Pelodiscus sinensis: one gene and its partner. The protein of the gene in region 1 purifies or fractionates together with the protein of each later gene. This does not show direct contact. Links are inferred from orthologs where the notes say so. Each region holds a gene or a part of one and is shown in the gene's direction. Other genes may lie near its edges.

Region 1 (7,028 bases):
CCCGGCAGGGCCCTCACGCTTCCCGTGGGCACCTGCAGCCCCAGCCTGCCCCCCGGCAGGGCCCTCACGCTTCCCGTGGGCACCTGCAGCCCCAGCCTGCCCCCCGGCAGGGCCCTCACGCTTCCCGTGGGCACCTGCAGCCCCAGCCTGCCCCCCGGCAGGGCCCTCACGCTTCCCGTGGGCATCTCTAGCCCCAGCCTGCCCCCCGGCAGGGCCCTCACGCTTCCCGTGGGCACCTGCAGCCCCAGCCTGCCCCCCGGCAGGGCCCTCACGCTTCCCGTGGGCACCTGCAGCCCCAGCCTGCCCCCCGGCAGGGCCCTCACGCTTCCCCTGGGCACCTGCAGCCCCAGCCTGCCCCCCGGCAGGGCCCTCACGCTTCCCGTGGGCACCTGCAGCCCCAGCCTGCCCCCCGGCAGGGCCCTCACGCTTCCCGTGGGCACCTGCAGCCCCAGCCTGCCCCCCGGCAGGGCCCTCACGCTTCCCGTGGGCACCTGCAGCCCCAGCCTGCCCCACGGCAGGGCCCTCACGCTTCCCGTGGGCACCTGCAGCCCCAGCCTGCCCCACGGCAGGGCCCTCACGCTTCCCGTGGGCATCTCTAGCCCCAGCCTGCCCCCCGGCAGGGCCCTCACGCTTCCCGTGGGCACCTGCAGCCCCAGCCTGCCCCCCGGCAGGGCCCTCACGCTTCCCGTGGGCACCTGCAGCCCCAGCCTGCCCCCCGGCAGGGCCCTCACGCTTCCCGTGGGCATCTCTAGCCCCAGCCTGCCCCCCGGCAGGGCCCTCACGCTTCCCGTGGGCACCTGCAGCCCCAGCCTGCCCCACGGCAGGGCCCTCACGCTTCCCATGGGCACCTGCAGCCCCAGCCTGCCCCACGGCAGGGCCCTCACGCTTCCCGTGGGCATCTCTAGCCCCAGCCTGCCCCCCGGCAGGGCCCTCACGCTTCCCATGGGCATCTCTAGCCCCAGCCTGCCCCCCGGCAGGGCCCTCACGCTTCCCGTGGGCATCTCTAGCCCCAGCCTGCCCCCCGGCAGGGCCCTCACGCTTCCCGTGGGCACCTGCAGCCCCAGCCTGCCCCCCGGCAGGGCCCTCACGCTTCCCATGGGCATCTCTAGCCCCAGCCTGCCCCCCGGCAGGGCCCTCACGCTTCCCGTGGGCACCTGCAGCCCCAGCCTGCCCCCCGGCAGGGCCCTCACGCTTCCCGTGGGCATCTCTAGCCCCAGCCTGCCCCCCGGCAGGGCCCTCACGCTTCCCCTGGGCACCTGCAGCCCCAGCCTGCCCCACGTCAGGGCCCTCACGCTTCCCGTGGGCATCTCTAGCCCCAGCCTGCCCCCCGGCAGGGCCCTCACGCTTCCCGTGGGCACCTGCAGCCCCAGCCTGCCCCCCGGCAGGGCCCTCACGCTTCCCATGGGCATCTCTAGCCCCAGCCTGCCCCCCGGCAGGGCCCTCACGCTTCCCCTGGGCACCTGCAGCCCCAGCCTGCCCCCCGGCAGGGCCCTCACGCTTCCCGTGGGCACCTGCAGCCCCAGCCTGCCCCCCGGCAGGGCCCTCACGCTTCCCGTGGGCACCTGCAGCCCCAGCCTGCCCCACGGCAGGGCCCTCACGCTTCCCGTGGGCACCTGCAGCCCCAGCCTGCCCCCCGGCAGGGCCCTCACGCTTCCCGTGGGCACCTGCAGCCCCAGCCTGCCCCACGGCAGGGCCCTCACGCTTCCCGTGGGCACCTGCAGCCCCAGCCTGCCCCCCCGGCAGGGCCCTCACGCTTCCCCTGGGCACCTGCAGCCCCAGCCTGCCCCCCGGCAGGGCCCTCACGCTTCCCGTGGGCACCTGCAGCCCCAGCCTGCCCCCCCGGCAGGGCCCTCACGCTTCCCCTGGGCACCTGCAGCCCCAGCCTGCCCCCCGGCAGGGCCCTCACGCTTCCCGTGGGCACCTGCAGCCCCAGCCTGCCCCCCGGCAGGGCCCTCACGCTTCCCGTGGGCACCTGCAGCCCCAGCCTGCCCCCCGGCAGGGCCCTCACGCTTCCCGTGGGCACCTGCAGCCCCAGCCTGCCCCCCCGGCAGGGCCCTCACGCTTCCCCTGGGCACCTGCAGCCCCAGCCTGCCCCCCGGCAGGGCCCTCACGCTTCCCGTGGGCACCTGCAGCCTCAGCCTGCCCCCCGGCAGGGCCCTCACGCTTCCCATGGGCATCTCTAGCCCCAGTCTGCCCTGTGCACTGGGGGGGCTGGGGTGGGGGTGGGGAAATGAGGGCTTGTTCCCTGCACAGGGTGCTGCCTGGCACTGGCAGAGCCTCGGGGCATTGCCGGGAGATGGGCAGCGCCCGGTGCTGGGGTCTGTGCAGGTCCAGGCTGGACCCGCTCCACTGGGGCCTGTGGGGCGCAGGTCCCCGGGGGCTCCCCACTGCTGAGCAGGACGGTGTCTTGGGGCGCTGCCCTTCGGGACTCCCCTCTGTTCTGGTGAGTTGCAGCGGTGCCCTGGGCTGCGATCCAGCGGGTTAGCACTCGCCTCCCTGGTGTCCTTCTCTGTGTCTCACGGCGGGGGGGCCAGTCTCCTGTGGGAAGGGGAGCATGTCTGGCTTTGGGTTTGGTGTGTGAAAGGGGGCTGGGAGCCAGGCAGAGCAAGGGGCAGGGTGGGAGGGGGCGGGATGTGGCAGTCCTTCCTTGGGGCCCCCAGGGAGGGGTGACAGACGCCTGCTGGAGACTGCCTGGGGCCAGGGCGCATGATTCCCCCTCCTGCCACTGCACCCATGCGGCCCTCCGCCCCACATGGGACAGGGCAGGCTGGGGGGCGGAGGGCTCACAGCTCATCAGACTGGGAATGTGGTGAGTCAGCAAATGCCCCGGCTTCACCAAGCAGCAAGCCCTCGGGGCCTGGGATGGGGAAATGCAGATAGCCTGGGGGTGGGGGGGAGGCCCGGGTGGGGCAGTCCGCAGTGGGGAGTGGTCTGTGTCGGGGGGGGGGGGCACAGGGGGGGCACAGGGGGGATGTGCTGCAGCTAGTGCCCCTGCCAGAGACCAGCGCCCCCCCCCCCCCACTTCCCCACTAATCACCTCCTCTTGTGAGTTCCATCCCAGCTGGAGAGCTGGGTGGTTGCCATGGAGACAGGATGCTGGTTGCCTAGATAAGCTGAAATTTCCCTGCCTTCGCCCACCAGCCCTGGACCGACTCTGCCGGCTGCCCACCCCCACCTTTGAGGAGGGGCCGCTGTGGGGGGCAGGGGACACACGGGGGGCAGGGGGCGGGGGCCGTGCCAAGCCCAGCCTGGAGAGGGGCCGGTATCCAAGGAACCGTCTCCATGGAGTCCCCATCGCACCCTGATGGCTCATTGATTTGCTGCTGCTCCCTGCCAGGGGCTCACGCAGCCGGGAACGTGAGCAGCTCCGGCCTGGGGGGGGCTGCTGCCCCAGGCCCACGGGCCCGCCTGACAGCTGCTGACTGGCCCCAGAGGGGTGAAGCCTGGTCCCCCCCAGCTCGTAGGGGAGCTGCCAGCACGCTGCCTGGGGGGCTGGCGAAAAGGGCCTGCTTGGCAGCTAGGGCGGGGGGCTGGGACCCATTTCCCCCTCCCGCTGCCAGTCCCTGCCGCCCTCCCCCAGGCTCCCTGCTCACCCAGTGGGCGCCAGGCACTGGGATTCCGTCGCCTTTCACTGGGCGCAGCCAGGGGGGGTTTCTCCCTGGGCCTCGGGCGCCGCCCTGCTCCCGCTGGCCCCGCTGTGGAGGGAGAGGAGAGGCCCACGCTGACAGCCCCCAGGCCCACACACCACTGCCCCAGGGAGGGACTTCGCATTGTAGCTGGAGTGCCCAGTGTAGAGTCCAGCCGCCCGCCCCCTGCTGGCCCCCCTTGCTATGGGGGGGTCCGGCCCACCCCAGCTCCTGCAGCAGGTGCACTGTGCATGGCGCGAGGCCGCCCCCTGCTGGTGGGGTGCAGGCTGCAGTGGAGCGCTGCTGTGCCCCTCACAGGCTCTCCTCCCGCAGGGCTCTGTACACCTACGAGGATGACTCTGATGACCTGAAGCTGGCTGCGTCGGGAGGTAAGGGGTCCCCTGCCCTGGGCCTCCTGCCAAGGGGGGCTAGAGAGCCTAAACACCCCTCCCCAAAGCACTTGCCACCTGGGGGGAGGACAGCCAGCCTGTGGATACTTCCCCACCCATGGGGGGACAGACCGAGCGCCTGTGATTCCTCCCCGCCCGTAGGGGGACACACTGAGCGCCTGTGATTCCTCCCCGCCCGTGGGGGGACACACCGAGTGCCTGTGATTCCTCCCCGCCCGTAGGGGGACACACTGAGCGCCTGTGATTCCTCCCCGCCCGTGGGGGGACACACCGAGTGCCTGTGATTCCTCCCCGCCCGTGGGGGGACACACCGAGTGCCTGTGATTCCTCCCCGCCCGTAGGGGGACACACTGAGCGCCTGTGATTCCTCCCTGCCCGTGGGGGGACACACTGAGCGCCTGTGATTCCTCCCTGCCCGTGGGGGGACACACCGAGTGCCTGTGATTCCTCCCCGCCCGTGGGGGGACACACCGAGCGCCTGTGATTCCTCCCTGCCTGTGGGGGGACACACTGAGCGCCTGTGATTCCTCCCCGCCCGTGGGGGGACAGACTGAGCGCCTGTGATTCCTCCCCGCCCGTGGGGGGACACACTGAGCGCCTGTGATTCCTCCCCACCCGTGGGGGGACACACCGAGCGCCTGTGATTCCTCCCCGCCCGTGGGGGGACACACCGAGCGCCTGTGATTCCTCCCTGCCTGTGGGGGGACACACCGAGCGCCTGTGATTCCTCCCTGCCCGTGGGGGGACACACCGAGCGCCTGTGATTCCTCCCCGCCTGTGGGGGGACAGACCGAGCGCCTGTGATTCCTCCCTGCCCGTGGGGGGACACACTGAGCGCCTGTGATTCCTCCCTGCCCGTGGGGGGACACACCGAGCGCCTGTGATTCCTCCCTGCCCATGGGGGGACACACCGAGCGCCTGTGATTCCTCCCCGCCCGTGGGGGGACAGACCGAGCGCCTGTGATTCCTCCCTGCCCGTGGGGGGACACACCGAGCGCCTGTGATTCCTCCCCGCCCGTGGGGGGACACACCGAGCGCCTGTGATTCCTCCCCGCCCGTGGGGGGACAGACCGAGCGCCTGTGATTCCTCCCCGCCCGTGGGGGGACAGACCGAGCGCCTGTGATTCCTCCCCGCCCGTGGGGGGACAGACCGAGCGCCTGTGATTCCTCCCCGCCCGTGGGGGGACAGACCGAGCGCCTGTGATTCCTCCCCGCCCGTGGGGGGACAGACCGAGCGCCTGTGATTCCTCCCCGCCCGTGGGGGGACACACTGAGCGCCTGTGATTCCTCCCCGCCCGTGGGGGGACACACTGAGCGCCTGTGATTCCTCCCCGCCCGTGGGGGGACACACTGAGCGCCTGTGATTCCTCCCTGCCCGTGGGGGGACAGACCGAGCGCCTGTGATTCCTCCCTGCCCGTGGGGGGACACACCGAGCGCCTGTGATTCCTCCCTGCCCGTGGGGGGACACACCGAGCGCCTGTGATTCCTCCCTGCCCGTGGGGGGACACACCGAGCGCCTGTGATTCCTCCCCGCCCGTGGGGGGACAGACCGAGCGCCTGTGATTCCTCCCTGCCCGTGGGGGGACAGACCGAGCGCCTGTGATTCCTCCCCGCCCGTGGGGGGACACACCGAGCGCCTGTGATTCCTCCCCGCCCGTGGGGGGACACACCGAGCGCCTGTGATTCCTCCCCGCCCGTGGGGGGACAGACCGAGCGCCTGTGATTCCTCCCCGCCCGTGGGGGGACAGACCGAGCGCCTGTGATTCCTCCCCGCCCGTGGGGGGACAGACCGAGCGCCTGTGATTCCTCCCCGCCCGTGGGGGGACAGACCGAGCGCCTGTGATTCCTCCCCGCCCGTGGGGGGACAGACCGAGCGCCTGTGATTCCTCCCCGCCCGTGGGGGGACACACTGAGCGCCTGTGATTCCTCGCCCGTGGGGGGACACACTGAGCGCCTGTGATTCCTCCCCGCCCGTGGGGGGACACACTGAGCGCCTGTGATTCCTCCCCGCCCGTGGGGGGACACACTGAGCGCCTGTGATTCCTCCCCGCCCGTGGGGGGACACACTGAGCGCCTGTGATTCCTCCCCGCCCGTGGGGGGACAGACTGAGCGCCTGTGATTCCTCCCCGCCCGTGGGGGGACAGACTGAGCGCCTGTGATTCCTCCCCGCCCGTGGGGGGACACACTGAGCGCCTGTGATTCCTCCCCGCCCGTGGGGGGACACACTGAGCGCCTGTGATTCCTCCCCGCCCGTGGGGGGACACACTGAGCGCCTGTGATTCCTCCTCGCCCGTGGGGGGACACACTGAGCGCCTGTGATTCCTCCCCGCCCGGCAGGAGGCGGCTTGCAGGAGCTCTCTGGCCACTTTGAGAACCAGAAGGTGATGTATGGCTTCTGCAGCGTGAAGGAGCCCCAGGCAGCCCTGCCCAAATACGTCCTGGTCAACTGGGTGAGTGGGGCAGAGGGCTCCATGCGGGGGTGCAGGCCGGGACACCCCCTTTTGGCCTGTTTGCAGCCCCACAGGTGGGATGCAGCGAGGGGTGGAGCCGGGCCGTTCTGCAGGAGTGGGGTGCCTGCCCTACATGCTGGGGGGGGTGTTCCTGGCCTGACACTAGTCTGTGCGCAGGAGGGGGCGAGTGGGGGTGGGGCGGTTCTAGCCCCTCCAGCCACTTGGCAGTGCGTGTCTGAGCCCCGCGCAGCGCCCCCGGCTGGCGGGGGAGACTCGGCACACGCCTGGGGGGTGCGATGGGCCTGCCGGAGCTTGGGGGGGCCTGTGGTGTTCGGGGCCCCAGAGCTTTTCCAGGGACCCCACCTAGTGGAGCTCTGTGTCCCTGCACCGGGCCCCGCTGGGGTGGCCAGGGGGGTAGGGCTGCCCCAGCGCCCTGGAGCCTCACTGGGCCCCTGGGATCCAGGCGGAGCCACGTGCCCGCCCTGCCGGGAGTGACGGTCCCGCAGCTCTGCCTTGCCATTGGCCGAGCTGCCCTGGGCG
Region 2 (7,111 bases), on another chromosome or scaffold:
ATTTCATCTTGGATCATCTCATGTATCTAGCATGTGATGAACTCACCGGAGTGCCTCTTGGGGCTAACCTGACTGCTCCTTCCACAAGTTCTCACATCTCTTCGGCTGCTTTCCTAGCTCAAGTCCCTATTCAAGGTATCTGCTGGGCAGCAACCTAGTCCTCCATGCACACATTCTCAGTGTACTGTGCCTGTTCCCAGTCAGCCATAGCCGATGCCAGCTTTGGCTGTACAGTGTTGCAGTCGCCTTGTCCTTGAACTCAGAGCCAACCTCCTGCACAACTGCTTGCGCGTCCTTTCATTGGAACAGACATGTGTAAGCACTCAAAGAAAACTGTTACTAATCTTTCTGTAACTGTTGTTTGAGATGTTGCACGTGTCCATTCCTTATACCAATGCTACGAGCATCCAGCAACCCGGCTGATAATAGTGCTAGAGCCAACCCGACCGATTCCACTAAGGGGGAAAATCCAGCAGCTATGCTTGGGGCTGCTCACTCCTACATTGGAATGGATGGATGCAACTCCTCTTGAGGAACAACAGTTATTGGAAGGTTAGTAGCTGTTTTTCACAATGTGACACACTTGACAGTCCTTATATGGGAGGCTAGAACAGCCACTGGAAATGAGATTGAGGGTTGGAATGCTTTTACAGAGCTGCTAGCCTCTTGAGCTTCTTCCACTTCCTTAAGGACTAGATTACTAAGAATCTTGGGGCTGGGTTTTTTTGTCACTTACATCAGTCTTTTCTTTAAATGACCTTATTTGCTTGATTTTTTTTTTTTTTTCCCCCCCTAGGAGTGAAATGCGAACAGTGGTCAGAAGATGCATCCATAGTGTTTCGAAACCATGTAGAGAAGAAACCACTGGTGGCACTGGTACAAGCAGTTAATGAAAGCACAAACTCTTGGGATCGAAAAATAGTGACCTACTTAGTAGACACCTCACTGCCAGAGACTGATATATGGATTCATGACTTTATGTCTCAATATTTTGTGGAGCTTTCAAAGGTTAATTAATCACTGTTTCTGAAACTATTGCAACTAATTCAGTTTCTTCAGCAATAAAAGAAAATGTATCAGGCTTTTAAAGAGAAATTTAACTGTTCTTACATGGCCTTGAATATATGAATGTGAGGTTTGAAAAATCTGATGCTAGTAGACTGTGAAAAGAGATTTAACAAGTTTCTGTTTTCTTTTAATTGACTTTCCAAGAACTTGCACTTTGTTTACTGGTGAGGTGTTAGAATGTTGGAGTGAAAATACAGATTAAGTAAAATTGTATTTATCAATAAAATTATTGGTGGCTTTTGTCTTATTTTATTGCTGAATTCTTTTTTCGTTCTTAAAGTTACTGGAGTTTGAGACTGGTCAAAATTTGAGTTGATTTACAAGTTGCTAATTTCTGCATCACAGTTATTCCCGTGCTTAATGAAAACAAACATCACATCTGAACTGATTCCTTATTTGTTGGTAGTTTCAGAAATATCATATCCCAGAATACAGACTGTAAGAATTGTGCTTGCTTTTGCATAGAGGTGGCAGAAGCATAACCTACGTATATCTTAAACAGATATTCTAGTAGCACCTTAAAAACTAACAGCACATGTGTAGATGGTATGAGTTTTCATGGGCAAAACCCATTTCTTCAGATGACTGGAGTATAAGTCTAGACCCAAGAATAAATAAGGGAAGGGGGGGGGGGAGGAAAAAGGAGAGGGGAGGAAGACAGAGATACAGTGAGTAGATAGTTCAAATGGTTACAAGAGGCTCTTAAGAACCATTAGCACCTCCATTGTTTGGTTGGTGAGGTCATTAAAAGGTGGAAGATAGTGTGCGCATCATCCTCTGTCCGGGTTCAGACCATTGACATGAGAATTAAACTTGTGAATGAAGTTAAGTTCCAATCCTTCTCTGTGTATTTGACTTGTGGAATTGGTCTGAAACAAAACTGCAACTTAGAGATCCATTAATGAGTGTCCAGGAAGATTAAAGTGTTCTCCAACAGGTTTTTGTGTGTTGCCTTTTCAGCTATCTGATGTGTGTCCATCCACCCCTGCAATCTGCTGTGGTGCCCACTCTGCCCACACATCTACACAAGTGATTTCATCACTGGACCCAATGACATCAGCCACCAAATCAGAGGCTCATTTAACTGTACATAGTGTGATCTATGCCATCCAATGCCAGCAATGCCTCACTGCCATGTATATTGGCCAAACTGGACAGTTTCTACGGGAAAGAATTAATGGGCACAAATCAGATATCCGAAAAGGCAACACACAAAAACTGTTGGAGAACTCTTGGGGACAATCAATACGGCATGGGTAGCGCGTGCTGTAAATGGATATGCTGTAGCTACCCAAGAGATTTTGCAGGGAAGATTCACTGTGGGCAGCCAAGGCTGCATCACCTGCAAACAAGAAGTCTCTCAAAACCAGCTTTCTGCTTGAAGTCCTGTGAGGCTGGACAAGCCTCCAGAAAGTCTGCTTCGAAGATCAATGCTGTCCTTGCTGTCCTTGCAGTCATGAAAAAGCAAGAATGAACAGTAGCTGTTAAAGCCCATGCTGGCTAGGATGCACCTGTTTCACCATCTTATATCAGTGGTGGAGCATCCTGAGAAAAAAACACTCTTGAGGTTCAGGATAGACCTAGAAATTGCAGCTCGGGGAGCATAATGCATGTGTTCAATTGCTACTCCCACAGTTGTCAGTCACTTCTCTCCCCCTTGTCTCTGTAATTGTACAAAGCAAGTGTCTTGGAAATCTTGTGGCACCACTTCCTCTTTCCCACGGCTCAGTGCCTTGTTCCCAGCAATGGCTTAATGGCTTTCCAGGGGCTGATTTCTTCTGGCTTGGGCCAATTGCTCGGGCGCTTCCTTCATACATTCCACAGCTGCGAATATCAGAACGCTTCAGCTAAGCCAGCTTTTGCCTTTCTCTTCAGGCCTTGAGATTTCCAGTTTGCTGGTGTTGGAGGGTCTCTTGCAGATGTTAGTGCTGTCCGGCTCTCAACCAGTGAGAGTGGGGTTGCAGTGCTTTTCAAACCGGTCTGCGTATTTCTAGCTCTCTTCCCCACCACCCGGCCCAATGCTGTTACCTCAGCCATAGTGGTGGAGTTGGAAGATAAAACTTCCTTGCGCACTATTCAATGAAGTTGTGAATCTTTGTACATCTTCAGCTGGGCAGGTAGCTTTGCTAGGGTAGTCTGCTGCAGTGGCAATACCCAAAAGATCTGAGGCATGAGCCGTGCGAGTCAGCACTGAGATACGGTCTCTGCCACTGATTTTCTTTTGGATGCCTGAGTTTGGCCAGTGCTAGACCTGATTGGAGTCCATGCCCTGATCTTGGATGTTTCCTTGTAACTTGCCCAACCAAGTGGGGGGTTGGTAACAGAGTTTGGATGTGCCGTGTTCTAACGCTCACTGGCCATTTTCATTCCTTTTGCCAATTCCACGTTTGCCCCAAATACCAGGCCAGTTCCCATCACTCTGTCCAACTCTTGCCTTGAAGTACATCACATGTTATAATGGCCTGTGGCAGAAGCCGCACCACGGCCGCACCTTGCAGCCGTACTGGTCCTTTGCTTGGGGATCCCTATTGCTACCTCCCCCTGCCCCGTTCCTTGTAGGGTTGGACTCTTGTGCCATCACTGCTGCCACTGGGGGCAGGAGCCTTGCCCTGCTGCCAAGGGCAGGAGCCTGTTTGTACCCCAGGTGTTCCAGCTGTTGCCTGGCACTGTATGATTGCAACAGCCACCACCCTTTGGCAGGGCCCTCTGCCCCAGCAGCGTGCCGGAGTCCACTGGGGCTCCGTGGGGGGAGTTACTTTCAGTACTGGGGGAGAGCTGAAGAGAGACCTTTGGGGGATGCAGGCTTTGCTTTTCCCAGTAGCACTGCAGGCGGCAGTGCCCCGGTGCTATTTACGCTGTGGCACGGTGCGGGTGTAAGAGTGTGGGGGTTCAAAGGGTTGGGTTGGATTGGGGGAGCGCGCTGGGGCGGGACGAGGTTTGGGGAGGTGGTGGAGGCAGCGATTGGATGTGCGGGGAAGGGCAGAGGTTGGATCAGGGCTGGGGCGGTGGGGGTAGGGCGGGGGCGTGTTGGGGAACGCCCCGCCCCGCCCCGCTTGAGTGGCAGCCGCGGGCGTCGGAGCCGCCTCCCCGCAGGACGCAGGGCAGCGCATCTCGCCGCCCGGGCAAGACGCGGCCGCAGCAGCCCGTGCGCCCCTGGCCCCGCGCCCCCGCCCGTGCGCCCCGAGCCCCGGTAAGCGCCGCGCCCGCGGCTCCGGCCCCCAGCGCGCCCCGCACCCGGCTCCCCGCGGCCCCAGCCCATATCTGGGCAAAATATTCGGCTGTCAGCGCGCGGGACCGAGCGCTATAAATAGCCCGGCTGGCTGCGCGCAAGGCGCCGGGCAGGGGAGCTGGGCACAGGGGCTGGAACCTGGGGAGTGGGGGCTGGTCCTGCCCGGCCCCATGCTGGGCTGGACTCCACCTGCGCGGACTTGTCCAGGGCCGGGCGGGTGCAGCCCTGCTCCCCCTGGGGCAGGTGACCCGGCTGCCTGCTCCTGCCCCAGTCCCATGCTCCCAGCCCCCTCGCAGCAGAGACTCCCCTGAGCCCCAGAGTGAGTGTGGAGCTGGTGAGCGGTGCTGGGTGTGGGGTAAACTATTACCGGGGTGCCCAGAGGTGCCGGGGCCTCTGTGCGTCAGAACGGCGAAGTATAGCGGTGCCTTCGATGCTCCGTGCACAGGGACTTGGATGAACATTGGCAGCCTCGCCGAATGACCATGAATCTCCCAGAGGCGCTGCCCTTCCTGTCCGTGAGGTGCCTCGCTCGGCTATTTCTGTCCAGCCCAGCTGGGCCTCGGACTGGCTCCCCGCCCTTGATAGAGTCACCGCTCGGGCCTGCTGCTTGTGGCCAGCGTGATGGAGACTCCTCCTTGGGTGCCTCCTCCAGAGAGGCGTTTTGGGGCTGTGGCTCGCGGGCCCGGCCTGGTGCGTTGGCCGGCGGGAGGGGTGTTGTGTTCCCCAGCGCTGGCAGAGAGCAGACTCTCCTTTGTGGCTGGTCTGTGGGGCTTGTCGATCCCAGCATAGATCCATGCTGCTTGGGATCAGGCGCTGGCTTCTGAGTGACTGAGCCGTGTGAGCTGCCCCGCAGGTGTGAGGGCCGATGTCCGGCGTCCATTGGGAAAGGCTCTCCAGAGCATGCCCTCGCAAGCAGTCCCTCCCTTCTGTCGGGAGGCTCCCAGGGCCTGTCACTTGGTCTGTCTTGCAGTGATTGGCCCGTGGCTTTGGCCCACACGCTCAGTCTCTCAGCAGCTTTTCCTCGGTCAGCCCCGGGTTTCGGTTGCGATTTCATCCCGCTTCCCTTATGTCCGCCTTGGGCCAGCCCAACTCTTCCCCTGCTTCCCCCGCCCCAGCGGCTGCCCCGTCGGGCAGTGGGCCAGTGTGGCACGCAGGTCCCTACCGGGCTGGCTGCCATGCCGCTGGCACTGCTTGCTAATTACACCCACCCCCGCTAGGCTCTGAGCTGGCAAAGCCCCTAACGCTGACCCTAAGGACGTTTCTAGCACCCTGGGAATGCTCGCGCGCTCTCCAGCCTGCTTCCGCTGAGCTCCATGGCGATTTGAATCGCCCGCTAGTCCCCGAGTTACTGCCCTCTGGCCAGTGCTGGGATCCGAGGGCCCCTGGCGGCATGGCTCAGTGTCACGGGAAGGGCTCTCGGTGCCCCTCGGGGCCTGCTGCCCAAAGCTGCCTTTCCCAGCAGGGTTCCATGGCCGACTCGTACCTCGCTCTCCGCTGCATTTCTGCTCCCCCCAGGGCTGCCCCCCCAGGGCGTCTCTGTTTCCGCTTTCTCCCCCAACCCTGCCCTGTTCCGCGTTGAGTCGGTTTCCCTTTTCCTGCTCAGCATTTACATACCCTGGCTGTTTGTGTGGTTAGTCCCCATCCCACCCCGCTGGCAGCACCTCCTAGCCTCGTACCTGTCTGTCACGAAGATAACGAAGCATGCGGCACGTCTGTGGGGGTGTTTGGAGGCAGGCCGTACCATCCCATAGGGCAGGGGTGGGGGCCTCAGGCCCGGGGGCCGGATCCAGCCCCCAAGGCCCTGGGCTCCCTCCCCTGCATTGGGGAGCTGGTGCTGGCCCTGCAGCCCCCACCCCTGCAGTCTTGCCCCAAAGGGCTGGAGCCCCAACACTGTCTCCATGCTGTGGGGGGAAGCCCCGAGCCTCACGGGCCAGCCAGGCAAGCTGGAACCGGATCCAGCCCATGGGTGGAGGGAGGAAATGGCTCCTGTGCCCTACTTCCTATCCCCAGGCTGCCCCAGCACCCTGTTGCCCTCGCAGAGCCACCAACCCCAAACCCGCTCCGGCACCCTCCCTCCAGACCCCAAGCCTTCCCCACACTGAACCCCTCCTTTGTGGCCCCCGCCGAAAGCCTGGGTTCCCCCAGCTCTGGTGTGCGAAGGAAATGTGAGGAGCGTCACCTGATCTTTCTGTGGGTCAGCAGCCCTTCCCCAGAAAGGTTCCCCAGCCCTTATAAAGTGACGCGTTGTGGTTTATTACCCGTTGGTTCTCGTGCACTTGTTCTGGTCGGTTTCCCAGTAGTGGGATGGAAGGCCGTTTGAATTCATGTTCCAGGGTAGGTGTGGTGACGCGTTGCATTGCAATCTCTGTATTCGCTGCTCTTTCCCCAAAAGCAATTCTTTGTGATGTATCGTTGCCGCTCCATTGCCAGCTCACTGTCCAGGATTCCTTTTTCTTCCAAGCACTTGCAGACATTTAATAGGGTCTGAATCCGTATTTCATTTTTATAGTTTGAATTAATGACTTCGCTTAATTAACTGTTAGAGGCCCGTTTTTCTGTTCCGTACAGCAGTTTTATGCTGGGGGAATTCCTTGTTATTTCATTGGTACTGTGCTGGTACAGAAGCAGCATAACAGAATGGAGAATGAGGCCCTGTAGTTAATTACCTACAAGCTATTTTGGTTCAAAGAATTTTAATTTTAGCTCTGCAGTTCACCTGTAATTAGAGCATGTGCTGCCACAGCGCTGTAATCCGCGTGGCTTGTTGGCTGCGGTCAGACCCAGCAGGAGGCGTGTAAGGATCCCAATAATTAA

Evidence for each region.
Region 2: the proteins of DBN1 (region 1) and TMOD1 purify together in Homo sapiens (co-immunoprecipitation; 3 studies listed by BioGRID and IntAct, with this or other methods). This does not show direct contact. The link is inferred for Pelodiscus sinensis from reciprocal best matches to the Homo sapiens genes DBN1 and TMOD1.

What each region holds. Positions count from the first base shown.
Region 1 is NW_027465882.1:1,825-8,852, forward strand, and holds the start of DBN1 (drebrin), read left to right. Parts: upstream 1-3,959; 5' UTR 3,960-4,015; intron 4,016-6,375; 5' UTR 6,376-6,422; coding exon 6,423-6,488; intron 6,489-7,028. UniProt on the Homo sapiens protein: Actin cytoskeleton-organizing protein that plays a role in the formation of cell projections. Required for actin polymerization at immunological synapses (IS) and for the recruitment of the chemokine receptor CXCR4 to IS.
Region 2 is NC_134716.1:398,739-405,849, reverse strand, and holds the start of TMOD1 (tropomodulin-1), read left to right. Parts: upstream 1-4,101; 5' UTR 4,102-4,258; intron 4,259-4,410; exon of another isoform or gene 4,411-4,631; intron 4,632-7,111. Other genes in the region: TDRD7 (tudor domain-containing protein 7), read left to right, coding at 797-1,017. UniProt on the Homo sapiens protein: Blocks the elongation and depolymerization of the actin filaments at the pointed end. The Tmod/TM complex contributes to the formation of the short actin protofilament, which in turn defines the geometry of the membrane skeleton.